2 linked regions of the Canis lupus familiaris genome follow. The protein of the gene in region 2 purifies or fractionates together with the protein of the main gene of each other region. This does not show direct contact. Links are inferred from orthologs where the notes say so. Each region holds a gene or a part of one and is shown on either strand. Other genes may lie near its edges.

Region 1 (6,460 bases), on a different chromosome or scaffold from region 2:
ATGTACAAGAGGGTCACGTCAACTTTAGAGCTATTTGGTGCTAATGGCTTAAACATTCTAGTTGACAAATAAGCACTAATACCTACTCCATGCTATCCTTCACTGTCATTCTTTGAAATTGCATCTTTGGAACTGATTATGTTCCTTCACTATAGCTACAGCCCCTCTAGGGATACCCAAACACAAAAACCCTAAAATCCACACAGTCTTCAAGTTCAAGTATAAAGGTTTGATTCAGGACAACCCAGACTGATGTAGTGTTTCTTTATACCTCTGTAGTGTCTACTGGGTGTCATCCCCTTTGACAGGCTGACCAGATGACAGCACAATGAGGGAGCACACATGGTCAACTCTGCTACTGCCTGTTCAATCTGGACACTGCCCACAGTCAGGGCTGCATGCTGAAATCAGTGATGACCTCGGCCTGTCTTCATTCTGAAGTTGTACTCTTAAGTAACCGAATCCATTTCTTCGCGGTTAATTCAATGGAGCTTCCAAAAGGTGTCAGACATACTCTGAAAAGATAAGAGAATCAGATTAAAATGCTTTTTGATAAGAGACTACATTTGATTTTAATGCTTCTAAAGGAATTTACAATTAAACTTAAAGACTGGTAATGTTTTACACTCCATAATGGAACTGAGGTTTTCCCCCAATACAGGCACAAAAAGACAACCCCCCTCCCCTTAAGGCAGTGCCCCACACGAGCTTTATGCTCTTGTTCTGTTCACTCATTGATGCTTTCTTATAAAAAATTATAAACATCTTAATGAATCTTACAAACAGAACACCAAAATGGACTGAGAGGACAGATTACTAACAATGGCTAGGTAAGAATCCACTGCTTACTTGCTGATCACTGCTCATATTTACTAATGTCTCAAAGCCTGCAAAAAGTATTGCTTTGTGCATCTATAGCTGGCTTTTAAGATTAAATTAAATCCCAAATGTAATTAGAAGGGGTATGCATATAACACAAGAATCCCATGGTAACTGTCACTGGTAAACTATAATCCCTAAATACAGGGAAATACAGCAGGGCTTAAAGCAAACTGAGTCTTATTTAGGATGGCGTTTTTTAATACATTGTTCGACTTTATATTCAAATTGCAAGCCCAAGTTTAATTCATGTCCAGGCGTGAGACTTGTTTTATCAATTTCAGAAAAACAGAACTTTCCTTTGAATTTCTCTTGTGCACAACAATCATCCCAGGCTTTCTAATGAAGCATCTATTTCTAATAGATGCTAATCTATTTCTAATAGTTTCTAATGCATCTAATAGCATCTAATAGATGCTAACTATTTCTAATGAAGCATCTATTCACAGCTTAAATGTTTAGCTCTGGTGGCACAGAAACTCATACCAAGACAGGAGAATGCTATTCATTAGTTCTCAGTAAAAAATGACTTTTAAATAGTAGGTGAAGTCTATCTGCAGTAAATGCTTTTCTGAATACATAAAGAATATGATCCCCAATAGTGGCTTACCCCTTTTCTATCCATTTTATTTATCTATAAGTCAGAGATGAATGCTCCTGGACAAAAGATGGGATACCGGACCTTAGGAAGCATCCTGGGATGGAGCTGGGGGGTCCTGGCTCTCAGGCTCTGGAGGGGGCGCTGGCACAGCTTCTTTTTTCTTGGCCGCCAGGAACTCATGAATTGCTCTTTCTATCTGTGGTCTAAAGATGTGGTTTAGTTTGGGATCCACCACTTGAGAAATGATTCTGTCCACTCCAGCTTCCAACATCCCTGACCTTGTGGAAACAAAAAGATCATTCTTTGAAGGTCTGTGCACCCTGCATACTGACAGTGCAATATCAAACTGGAAAAATGATAACCAGTACAACCCAACCTTAGTTTTCACACATGTAACCACACTCTGTTGTATGCGTAGCTCTGTGCCATTTCACCACGTAACTGCAGGTAATGAAGATCTTACCCATACCACCAGAGTATCCCCTTGTGCTACCCCTTTCAAGTCACACTCACTCCCCTCCTCCTCCTATCCCTAAAGCCCTAGGCAACCACTATTTTTGTCTCCATTGCTATAACTTTGTTCACCAATGTTACATATATGGAGTCACCATACTTCTTTTTGATATTGGTTTTTTTCACTAAGCATAATTCCCTCATATTTCTATACCTAAGGAGGTAGGCTTCACAAGCTTTTAGATATTCCAGTAGAGTTCAGTGGATCAAGACTTGAACATGAGTGCCAGTAATAAGAGCAAAAAAGATCTCAAGTAGATTAGAAAAACTTATCTTAGGACACCATATTCCATGACTGCCTCCACTTTTATGCCCAGCAACATTAAGAAGTCACTTGGATGAGCTATCAGCAGCACCTTATTAACTAAGGTTCCATTTGTTACTGTGAAGGCCATGCTTTAATAAGACTCCATGCCTTCCTAAAAGCTGCCATTACATGTGAGAGGGCCATATGGACTCAAAGATTTTGTAGAACTCCCATTTCCTTATGATACTAAAGATCCAACTCCTCTTGCCCAAGATCCAAACACTGCTATCTGGGTCTAAAACTCCTATGTATGTGCCGACTATGCTGAAAACTTCAAGCAAGAGAGAACTGTGTTTCACAACTTGAAGTATCTTTCAATGCACCCGGTAGAGTTTACACAGGAGTCTAAGGAGGTTGGATAAACTAGCAAGAATGTCAGCTGAGTCCTTTGCTTACTTGAACCTTAACTTTAATAAAGGGTGGACTGCTAGGACTTGTGTGTGGGATTTGCTGTAAAATGCCATTCACCCTGACCAAATAATGATGCCTATCAGCTTTCTTGTGCATCCTACATGATTATCGCCTTTTCACTCTTAATTCTACTTACTGAACCACACTCTGCCTCAGACCATTTCGCAACTGGTTTTTGTTCATTGTAGGATTCCATTCCTGCTTGTCCAGATGTGTTGACACAAAATTATCCACCTTCTGCCTCAGGTTTTGGTAAGCTGGCTAAAACATTAAGAAGAGGAGGCAAGGAAAGAAGTTATATGCACCAAAGTTTAGAAATCAGTCATTCAAGAATACTGCTTTTCAGAGAAATGTAGATTTTAAGACCTTAGAGACACTTCCACCATGCCTATGAAGATCACCCCACATAGCACAGCAGAGCATACATTAACAAGCAATGCAAGAGCTTACTTTATGGTGGGCAGGCACAAGGCCAGATGCTTTATCATCCTACTTACTTTCCAAGTAATGGTACAGGGAGGTTCCAGAACTCTCTCCTGCCCCCATATTAGAGATAAGAAATTTACACTTAGAAAAAAGAAACAACTTGCCCACATGGCCAAAATGTGGCAAATCCAAGGTCAGACCTAGTCTGTTTCTAAATCAGAGGAACTGGGTTCTAGCCCAGAGCCACCACTAACTGGCCGTCTGACTTTCAACAAGTCACCAACCTTTCAGTCTCAGTTATTTCCATTTGTAAACCTGAAATGCTACGCCCCACTTACCTCACAGGGTATCTCAGCAACAAATAAGGACTCAGGAAAGTATACTGTATAAAATGTAGGGCCACCCAAACCTCAGGGCGCTATGAAAATAGGAGACTAAAGTCAAAGCCTATGGAACACTGGGAAAGGCTGAGGCGAAGCACAGCTTAAGTCCAAAAATGGAGCTTGAGCTATTTATCGGCCTCAAATGTTTTATATCCAACTATGATCAGAACAAAATTAGAAGGAACTTGATAAACACATGGAATATATGTTCTCAGCCTCCAAGACCTTCTGGTACAATCAGCTGCTCTTCTTCAAATCAAGAATAACAGTAAGCATTGCTGTTAAGCATCACCCCTGTTCTCCTGCTGCGCAGGGACTGCTTCCCTACCCCAATGAAGTTGGGAGTTTTAGCAACACGATATGGTCTTGTCAATGGAGTGCTAGTGACCGAAGACCTTCGATGTGGTTGTGCTCTGTCTAGCTTGGTTCTTGTGCTCTAGTGACCGTCTATGAGGGCATGTCCTGGGACCTAAGATGAGTTTATACATAGCCGAGCTAAACCCAAACCCAGGCCACCTGAGTCACCCAGCTGAAGCCTACTTAGGTTAGCTGAACTCCAGCTGACCTGTAACCCTAGCAGCATGAGAATGAACGCTTATCCTAAGCCATTGTGATTTGGTTTATTATGCAGTGTCACCGAGGCAAAAGTTTGCTAACAGGTAAATGAAATAGACAAATCAGCACGCTTCAACTCTATATGCAGATTCTGCCAACGGCCAAGTGAATTGACACACAAACACCCATGTACTATCTACCTAGCAACTCGTCCTCCTTCCCTCACAAAGGTCCGGCAGAGGGTGCCATGTTCTCCTGACGGCAAGGCTGGTGCCTGACCCATGCTAAGACAATGCTGATGTTCCCTGAGATTTTTTGAATAGGAGTTGAGAGCCCTTTTCTATAGGAAGAAGATGTAAGATGTAATCAAAATACTAGTAACCAAATGGATGACTCTGCAGTGACAATAAAAGAGTTATAGAGCAGAGATGAAAGACAGCCCCTGTGGAGCATCCTTGGTTCCAAACGCATCCCTCTTCTGGCAGTTTGCTCGTTTTTTTTTTTTTTTTTTTTTTTTTAAGATTTAATTTATTTATTCATGAGAGACACACACAGAGAGAGGCAGAGATGCAGGCAGAGGGAGAAGCAGGCTTCATGCAGGGAGCCTGATGTGGGACTTGATCCCGGGACTCCAGGATCACACCCTGGGCCAAAGGCAGGCACTAAACCGCTGAGCCACCCAGGGATTCCCCCAGTTTGCTCATTTAGTCCTTTCTTGCATTCCTCAAGTCAACAGATTCACTCCTTTGCTTAAAGGAACTAGAATTAATTTGTAACTGGGAACTATGCGTCCTGATATTATACTTTCTGCTATTGAAAATACGTTACCCGGGATCCCTGGGTGGCGCAGCGGTTTGGCGCCTGCCTTTGGCCCGGGGCGCGATCCTGGAGACCCGGGATCGAATCCCACGTCGGGCTCCCGGTGCATGGAGCCTGCTTCTCCCTCTGCCTGTGTCTCTGCCTCTCTGTCTCTCTCTGTGTGACTATCATGAATAAATAAATAAAATCTTAAAAAAAAAAAAAAAAAAGAAAATACGTTACCCTGTTTGAAATAAGTTACTGCTTACTGAAAAAGGACAAAGGACAGCAAATATCATCCCCAAACCCGAAAAGATCTTGACAATATAGAACAATCCCTTCAGTTCTTGAAGTGAAAGGACAGAATGTACCTGCCATTAACATTTTATTGCACTATCTATCCCTCACTTGATTCACTTATCAGTTTGTTCTATTTGTATTTTGGGTGCATTGCAAAGTAAATTACAAACATCATCAGTACATTTTCCCCCAAATATTTCAGCAGTCTGGGAAAGGGCCTAAGCCTAAGAATATATATTTCTAACAAATTCTCAGGTGAGGTTGGTGTTGCTGATCCAAGAGTCACACTGAGACCATGGAGCTAAAGCAACAGTGTCTGAAAACACACTGTCTTCCAGAATTAAAACCACCCAGTAGCTAATGGAAGGAACATATAAGGTGTTATGTGGGGGGAGGCTCCAACTCTCCTTTCCCCAACAGCTTTACAATACTGATTTCCCTTTTTTAAAGATGTTATTTATCTATTCATGAGACACATACACAGAGAGGCAGAGACACAGGCAGAGGGAGAAGCAGGCTCCATGCAGGGAGCCCGACGTGGGACTTGATCCCAGGACCCCAGGATCAGGTCCTGAGCCAAAGGCTCAACCACTGAGCCACCCAGGCATCCCTGTTTCTTTTTAAAATAACATGCATACTACATGGATTTAGCTGCATAAAACTGAACATAAGAGATATGAGTGGAGAACTTGTGATGGGAAGTTAAGAATACCCAGAGTCCTGGGAATGGTGGAAGCTCAGTTGGTATGTATCTGAGACACCTCACATAAGGAAAATTAAGCATTAACCACTTCTAGCACCACTTACTGTTTATACTCTCAGGTCCACATGTCAGTTTTCTACCCTACAGTACAAGCTTTGAGGACAGGTAATGACTTACTTGTTCCTGTATCCACACAGCCCACATGCTATAGGCCAGTAAATGTCAATGACTAAATGGAGGACGTCTTTTCCTATCTTTGAGTTGTAATTTTAGGTTCACAATCCTCCTGTTAGACAGGCAGATTTTCTCAGAGAGGAAGAAATCACTTCCCTAGAGGAGTTAACGGCGCCTCCTACACCGACAAACCTAATCTTCTTAGAAAAGCTTCTGAAAAGGGAGAGAATGGAACATTCCAGCAACTACTGTTATGTCTGGTAACACGTGGCTTCATGGAATTCCCAGGGCTGTGGCAAGTAACATGAAATAGCATTTTACTAGGAGGCATTCGGATCTAAAATTGGCACCAAATCCCCTTTGAGCCACGGTGGAGTAAAAGGGTGTCGGTTCTGGAGTAAAAGGGTAAT
Region 2 (8,229 bases):
CGCTGGGCCTGTGCTCACTCACCTCCTCATCCTCACGGACAGCCTGCTGCTTGGCACGAAGAATGATGGCCTCAAGTTCATGGAATCGGCGCTCCATCTCCTGAAGGCGGGTACGGGCACTCTGCTGCTCACGGCGAATACGTTCGAGCAGCTTCTTCCCGTGCTCCTCAGCAATGCAGGGACTCTGCTGCCACTGCTGGATGCGCTGGGGGAGGATCTCGTAGATGCGGCTGCAGGGAGGCAGGGGGTTAGGTGCAGGCAGGGAAAGTGGCAAGGAACAAGACAAGTGGGGTGATCCAAGAACGGCAGAAGAGATGGGTGACCAAACGGCCAAAGAATAAGTAAGTGACTGGATGGTAGACAAGCAGATGAGGGACAGATAGACGGGTGCACCACGGACTGAGCAGCAGGCAGGTAGCTGATGAGAAGACACACAGAAGGCTCTAGCCATGCCCTGCCCTGTACTCCCTGACTCCCTTGTGCTCTCCAGGAATGACTTACTTGGCTGCCAGCTTCATGCCACAGTCATCTGAGCAATACTTGGAGCCGGGCTGGGCAGGGCGCACACAGCCAGGTCCCAGGCACTGCGGTAGTGATGCAGGATCCTTAGCGTCGGCGCGCTCTGGGTGTTTCCATTTGTCCTTGTGCTTCTGTTTCTGCCGATGCCGCTTATATCTCTCTTCCTTCTAAGGGACGAAGCAGTCAGGTCAGGTTAGGGTGGAGTTAAAGTCAGCCCCAGTTCCCTGTGTCCCGCTGCCCCCACCACCACTTCTGGCTCTTGCCCCACCCAGCTCCTGATCTTTGCCTCTCCCTACCTTCCCTGCCCTCTGCCTTCTCACACCCATTTCACCCTCTCCATCACCTTCTTCTCGGATTTCTTCTCCCGACGCTTTACGTGCTTCACTTTCACTGCTCTCTTCCGTAGGGCAGGGTCCAGGAATGGAGACTCCTCTGTGTCGCTCATCCAGGGCTGCAAGTGAGGCACATGCTGACCCACCTGCCCGCCCATGACCACCCCACCCACTCAGTTCCCAGATCAGCCTTCCATACTCCGCCTTATCTTCCAGCTCTCCTCACCACGGAAACTCCGCTTCTGTGACCTCCACCCTTCCACCATGGAACGCTCTGGCTGCTCACCAGGCCATGGTCATCAAAGGCCCCTGCACAGAAGTCCTGGTACAGGTCAGGATCCAGTGGTAGGTCCTCATCTGAGAGTGGCTCAGGTGTAGCCGTAGCCTCCGGTGGCTCCTTGACTGCTGATGATGCCACTGCCCCCTCGTCCTCACGGATGCGCCCCAGCTTCTGTGATGGCTGTGGCTGCTGCTGGGTGGGCAGTGGCCTGCGAGGCCGTGGCAGGGACTCTGAGGGCGTCACTGGCGAGAGCTGCAGGGCAGAATCTCAGGACTGGCCCTGACCGCCCTGCCCGCATGCCCCGCCCCGCCCTGGGGGGCTGGACTCACCGAGGAAGGGAAGTACTTGTACGATTCCTGTGCCGGCAGGAGGAAGGCCCAGGTCAGCCCCAGGTGGATGGAGGGTGGCCCTGCCCTAGCCCCACCCACAAGAGCCTAGCCCACCAACTGCCCTGTGTTGCCTCCCAGACACACCTAGTACCCCCGCTTCACATCACCAGGACATGCTCAACCCTGCTCCACCTGCCCTGACGTGCCTGACCGCTGAAAATGGCCGGGGGGGGGGGGGGGGGGTCTGCCCTGCCCACCTGGGGTCGGGGATGCCCCTGCTAGCCCCACACACCTGGTCACGCCCTGTTCACCTACACAGGCCAGGCTCCTTCCCACCTGTCTGTGTGTAGCAAGGCCCCAGCTCACCCGCCCAGCCTGCCCCCTCCTGGCCTCCACGAGCCTTTCCTGGACACACTGACACCCCCAGCCCTGCCCAGCTCTACCCATGCTCACCCGGGCCCGCAGCTGGCACTGACGCAGCCGGCACTTCTGCCGGATCTTGTTGGGGCCCCCAAACTTCTTCATGTCCCGACAAAAGTCACAGTGGCCACAGTCTTCGGTGCGCCGGCAGGCCTCACACTCGCCACACATGCGGGCTGACCGTTTGATCTGCTGCTGCTGCTGCTGCTGCTGCTGCTGCTGGTGATGCTGAGGGGAGAGGCCCAGTACAAAAATCAGGAACGTGTACGGGGCCTGCGGGAGGCTCAGCTTACCTATCCCAGCCCCAGCAGCCACTCACCTGGCTGGGTGTGGCCACCAAGGGCTGTGGAGAGGATTTGTGGGGCGAAGCAGAGCCCCGAGCAAGCATCGCCCCAACCCCTGTCCCTGACCCCGCCCGACGCTGCAGGTCTGGATCCGGGGCAGGCCTCTTGCGCCCTCCACCCTCATCCCGGGGCTCACTGCCGTCTCGCTCATTGCTGTCCCGCTCCCGTGACTTCTTGTGCCGATAACGGATTTCCAGCTTGGGGTCTTTCTCTGTGGGGAAGACAGTGGGGCCAGGGTGGGTGGACCCTGAGGGATTCGGAGGGTTCCTCTTCATCTTGGTCCCCCCCACCTTCTCCCCGTCACTCCTCCGGGGCAGGGCTACCCCGCTGGGGGACGCTCTAGCCAAGCGCCCGTTGGAGTCTCCGCTGCAGCTCACCACAAACCGAGTCCCTCGGCCCGGGACCCACCCTCCTTGAAGGCTTCTCCCTGGAGGCAGGTGGGTGTGCCCCCCGTCCAGGCCGCCCCCTCACCTCGGCACTCCCGACAGTACCACTCCCGGATGGCCTTGGCCATCTTCTCAGTGATCCGGATGCAGTCCCCATGGAACCACTCATTGCAGTTGTCACACCCGCTGCAGAGGATGGGGTGAGTGGTGCAGATGTGAGGGGCCGCACCCATCAGCCTCACCCAACCTCGCCGGCGTCAGCCCGCCCGCCTCTCCCCGGCTCACATCATGAAGCAGTTGATGTCTGGTTTGCGGCAGATGCAGTAGATGGGCGCGTTCTCGCCGTTCTCCGACTTGCTGTCCTCCCCAGCGTCTGGAGGCTCTGGGTCGGAGCCGTCCCCCTCCTGCGGGACGGTGCCTTAGAGCAGCCCCACCACGGCCTCCACAGACCGCGACCGTCTGCCCACGCTTCCCACCGCGGCTCCTCGCGACCCTCCCGGCCCGGCCCACGCCGGCACCCCGACCTCCCGCCCCGCCCCGCTCACGGTCACGGTCGCGGTCACGGTCACTAGCGCCCGGGCAGCCCCGCCCCCTCGCGCCTCCCCGCCGGCCCGACGCCGACTGCCCCGCTCGCTACGGGCCGCCGGGCAGGCTCAGCCCAGACGCCGGGTCCCGCCGCCCCGCAGTCCCCGAGCGGGCCCCCGACGAGCTGCCGAAAGGCGTCCCCACTAACTTCCATCACGGAGCCGCGCAGGGGCCCGTCACAAAACTCCCAGGTGGCTCACACGTCGGAACAAGCTCGGAACCCCGGACCCCGACATTCCACCCGCAGCCCCCTCTGAGGCTCCCCACAGGCCCCCGCCCGAGCGCCCGCGGACGCCCCTGACGGTTCACCACAGACCCCCCGAGTCTGCCCACGGACCCCCCGCCGCCGACCCGCCGACCCCTACCGCCGACCCTCCCCGGCCCCGTACTTACCATCTCTCCGCTCTCGGCGCACCCCTCTGCGACCCCCGCCAGCGACCCGCGAACCCGCACAGACCTCTCGGCGGCGTCCGCGGCCGTTGTAAAGGCGCCCACAACTACTTCCGCTTTGGTCGCGCCTCCCGGGCACCGTACTCTTATTGCGCAGGACTAATGCGTCGGCTCCGCACCAAACAAGTCGATCCGCCGCCTAGAGCCGCCACGGTCTCTCAGGCGCCACCATCTTGACGACCAAGACCGTACGGCGGTCAGGGCCGTAAACTAGTAGGAAACATGGCCGCACCTATGTGGCCGCTTTCGCGAGGGCACCGCCACCTTGTCGGCCGACTCCGTACGGTGGCCGCTCGTACGGACTCAACGTTACAGGAAATATGGCGGCGCCTGTGCGCGGCTTCCACGCAGATGCCGTCATCTTGGAAACTGATTCCGTAAGATGGCCGAGTCCGTACGTTCACGGGCAATGCATGGCAGCGTCCTACCCGCGGTCTCCAGGAGGGCGCCGCCATTTTGGCATCGACTCCGTACGATGGCGGCTTGCCCTGCAGAGAAGTTCAAAGGAAAAGCGGCTGCTCCCGAAACACCACGTGCCTCGAGTTACACTCCGTCTTCCATTCACTCACGTTTCCCTCCCACGTGTGTTAATGGGGCGCCAGCGGACTGTGCCCATGTTCCCCCGTTCTGTGTCTGACGTCATCCTCACCACCCTTTCGCGCCCCGGGTCCTCCTCGAAGGTCCTCAGCCCAGCCCGGCGCCCTGCAGCCTCGGCCCTTGCGGGAGCGCGGTCACCCTCCGAACGGAAGGATGCAGGTGAAGGGCCCGACCCTGGTGACAAGGGGCCGAGCCACAGCAGACCCCGGAACCCGAGACACCGGCTACACCGCGTCTTCCCCTGACCCCGCCACCGCCGGGATGTGGATTCGCCGGGATCCCCGTGACGTCCACTCTGGCTCTCTTCCATCAGACATACTCAATTCTCTCCTATGAAGTTAGTTCTTACAATTTTTTAATTAGACTCCGTACATTTAAAAAAAAAAAAAAAACCGGACAGGTCGGAGCTCTGGACACGTCCTTAAGGCCAGGCTGTAACTCAGGCAACCTGAGCGGTCGGGCGGGTTTTAACGGGTCAGCGCCCCCGCCCCAACCCCCAGCAGATGCGCGAGCCCGGGTCACAGGGAATGTCCGCGTTCAGGGTCACGACTCTATTCAGGTTGGGGGGGCGGGGGGCCTGGGGAAAATGAAACTTGTCACCGGGTGCTGACAGTCGTTCTGGATTTCTTGGCTCTGGACATCATAGTAACGTACTTGCTCCTGATGATTCTCCTGAGGGCGGTGTCGGGTCTGATTTTTGTTTTTGTTTTCACCTTTCCTAGACATTTTTACTCGTGGCCCCTCCACACCGTCACAGACAACCGAAGTCACAGGAGCTGCATCATGGACTGTGTGACCCTCTCTCCTTAAAACGCGTCTTCTTCTTCTTCTTTTTTTTTTTTAGAATTATTTATTTATTTATGATAGTCACAGAGAGAGAGAGAGAGGCAGAGACACAGGCAGAGGGAGAAGCAGGCTCCATGCACCGGGAGCCCGACGTGGGATTCGATCCCGGGTCTCCAGGATCGCGCCCTGGGCCAAAGGCAGGCGCCAAACCGCTGCGCCACCCAGGGATCCCCTAAAGCCCGTCTTTAATCCACAAAGTGGACCTTCAGATCCAGACTTGCCTCCTTTTTCTAGTTAATACTGAATTAATCTTAATTTGATTGTAACTTATTTTAATTAACATAATTCTTCGAATTTAGTTCATTTAATGTATTAAATTAACTTTAGTTAGTATAAATGAATATGCATGTGTTGGTAAGATACTCAGATAAATTTAACCAATAAATTTCAAATAATTCAATTTTAACTTAATTACAATTTGATGTATGAAAGTAAATTTAAGGGAATATAGTTCAAGTTTAACTTAAATTAATTACTCATTTAATTTAACATCACTGACTTGACTTACTAAATTTAATTTTATTTAAAATATTAGTTCAGGGGAATCCCTGGGTGGCTCAGAAGTTTAGCGCCTGCCTTTGGCCCAGGGCACGATCCTGGAGTCCCAGGATCGAGTCCCACATCGGGTTCCCAGCGTGGAGCCTGCTTCTCCCTCTTCCTGTGTCTCTGCCTCTCTCTCTCTCTCTCTCTCTATCATAAATAAATAACTAAATAAATATTTTTTAAAAATAAAAATAAAAAATAAAATATTGATTCAATTCATTCAATTCAATTTATTCAGTTCAGTATTGTGTATCATTTAATTTCAATTTAATATTGTTTACTTTGTTATACTTTAATATGATTTGATTAATCCCATTTGAATTAACATATTTAAATATTAATTTAAATTCATCTAATTCATTAATTTTTTTTTTAAGATTTATTTATTTAGGGCAGCCGGATGGCCCAGCAGTTTGGCACTGCCTTCAGCCTGGGGTATGATCCTGGAGACTGGGGATCGAGTCCCACATCAGGCTCCCTGCATGGAGCCTGCTTCTCCCTCTGCCTGTGTCTCTGCCTCTCTCTCTCTCTCTCTCTCTCTCTCTGTCTTAAATAAATAAAAAAATCTTAAAAAAAAAAGATGTATTTATTCATGAGAGACACAGAGAGAGGCAGAGATATAGGCAGAGGGAGAAGCAGGCTCCTCACAGGGAGCCAAATGTGGGACTCAATCCTGGAACTCCAGGATAATGCCCTGAGCAGAAGGCAGGACACTCAACCATTGAGGCACCCAGACACCTCAATTCATTACTTTCTAATGTTATGTAACTAAACTGAATTAAGCATATATTCAATTACTGTAATTTTAAAATATGATTTATTAAATATTTATTCAATTAAGAAAAAACAGTAAGAAGACACAAATTACCTCATGAATGCAAATGCAAAAAGAGCCATCAGTATGGATCTTATAGATACTAAAAATGGATTATTCACACATTTATACCAACCTAATGCAAAATATATATATTTTTAAAGATTTTATTTATTTATTCATAGACACAGAGAGAGAGGCAGAGACACAGGCAGAGGGAGAAGCAGGCTCCATGCAGGGAGCCCAATGTGGGACTCAATCCCGGGTCTCCAGGATCACACCCCAGGCTGCAGGCGGCGCCAAACCGCTGCGCCACGGGGGCTGCCCAATATATTTGACTACTTAGATAAAATGGACAAATTCATTGAAAAAGACAACTTACCAAAAAGTAACACATGAAGAAATAGAGATTTTGAGTAGCCAAGCAGTGATAAAATTACTTGAATTTCTAATTAAAAGCTTTCCCACAAAGAAAACTCCAAGCCCAAATAGCTTCACTGGTAAATTCAAATATTAAGGAAGAAAAAGATGAGTCCTGTACAAAGTGTTTGAGGTAATATAGATGAGGAAGAAATACTTTCCAGTTCATTTTCATAATCATTTACCTGATACTAAACTAGACAAAGATATTACAAGAAAAGAAAATGACAGGCCAACATATCCCATGAGCACAAATGCTACAAATTATGAGGAATGGTCCCCAAAAGACTGCTTTTCCTATTTATGTATGTATGTATGTATGTATTTATTTATTTATAAGTAACCTCTACTCCCAACATGGGCCTTAAACTCATCACCTTGAGACCAAGAGTCACCTGCTCTACCAACTGAGCCAGCCAGGTGCCCCCTGCTTTTCCCTTTGGTATCACTGTAGAATTTAAGGTTCCTCAAGACCATGCTTACTTCTGGCACTAATTGCAGGTTTGGAGGTCCCCAACTAATTGGCTAGAAGAACTCACAGAACTCCCTGAAAGTTGTACTCACAGTTATCACAGGGAGAGAATTAAAATCTGTTATAGGATAGGGTCTGGAAAGGTTCCAAATACAGAGCTGCTAGTTACCCTGTCCCTCAGGAATCATAGAGCTAGTTGCTTTTAGGGACAATATGTGACAACAGGCATGGAGAATTGTCAACGAGGGAAGCTCACTTGAGACTTGGTGTCCAGAGTCTTAACTGGAGTTCCATTACCTCAGTACTGTTGACTGCCCATGTGTCTGATCAAGAGGTAGCGCTGATAGAATATGACTCTTAAGTCATCACCTCAAGTCACGTTGTTGGACTATCCAGTGACTAAAGACCCCTAGGCGAAGACAATTCTGTCAGGAATGACATTAAAGGGCTTAGAGATTACATCTTAGAAGTCAAGGCGAGCAAGAGCCAGACCTCTCTGGGCAACATTAAATTGTTTACTACACAGATGCAAAGTCATTAACAAAATATAAGCAAATTGCATCTAGCAATTTGTAAAAAATGATAACACCATGAAGAAGTCTATTTATGCCAGGAATGATCCTCAAAATACAAGATTGGTTTGGTGTTTGAAATATTGCAGGGATTAGTTACACGTTGGCACTCGGTTTACCTCATACATCTCCATACAGGCCAAGTAGGCAAAACTTAATGCAGTCTGGGAGTCTTGGTAAAATGCCCTGGATTTCCACCTTTCCAAATCAAGGAAGAGAAGCAGCCTTATGAGCAATAGCCAAAAGGCTATGTCTCGTCCATCTCCCTGGCTGTGGTTGAGCCTGAGACTTACCACCCTACACCTCCTTTGGAAGTGGCC

What was found.
Region 1: the proteins of CXXC1 (region 2) and BOD1 purify together in Homo sapiens (affinity purification with mass spectrometry; 4 studies listed by BioGRID and IntAct, counting the BioPlex papers as one, with this or other methods). This does not show direct contact. The link is inferred for Canis lupus familiaris from reciprocal best matches to the Homo sapiens genes CXXC1 and BOD1.

The regions. Positions count from the first base shown.
Region 1 is NC_049225.1:39,775,744-39,782,203, reverse strand, and holds part of BOD1 (biorientation of chromosomes in cell division protein 1), read right to left. Parts: intron 2,973-6,460; coding exon 2,848-2,972; intron 1,759-2,847; coding exon 1,563-1,758; 3' UTR 1,562-1,562; exon of another isoform or gene 1,490-1,561; intron 516-1,489; 3' UTR 1-515. UniProt on the Homo sapiens protein: Required for proper chromosome biorientation through the detection or correction of syntelic attachments in mitotic spindles.
Region 2 is NC_049228.1:78,680,452-78,688,680, reverse strand, and holds the start of CXXC1 (CXXC-type zinc finger protein 1), read right to left. Parts: upstream 4,404-8,229; 5' UTR 3,592-4,403; coding exon 3,589-3,591; intron 3,015-3,588; coding exon 2,896-3,014; intron 2,797-2,895; coding exon 2,696-2,796; intron 2,436-2,695; coding exon 2,200-2,435; intron 2,109-2,199; coding exon 1,914-2,108; intron 1,488-1,913; coding exon 1,461-1,487; intron 1,384-1,460; coding exon 1,138-1,383; intron 971-1,137; coding exon 863-970; intron 687-862; coding exon 502-686; intron 231-501; coding exon 23-230; intron 1-22. UniProt on the Homo sapiens protein: Transcriptional activator that exhibits a unique DNA binding specificity for CpG unmethylated motifs with a preference for CpGG.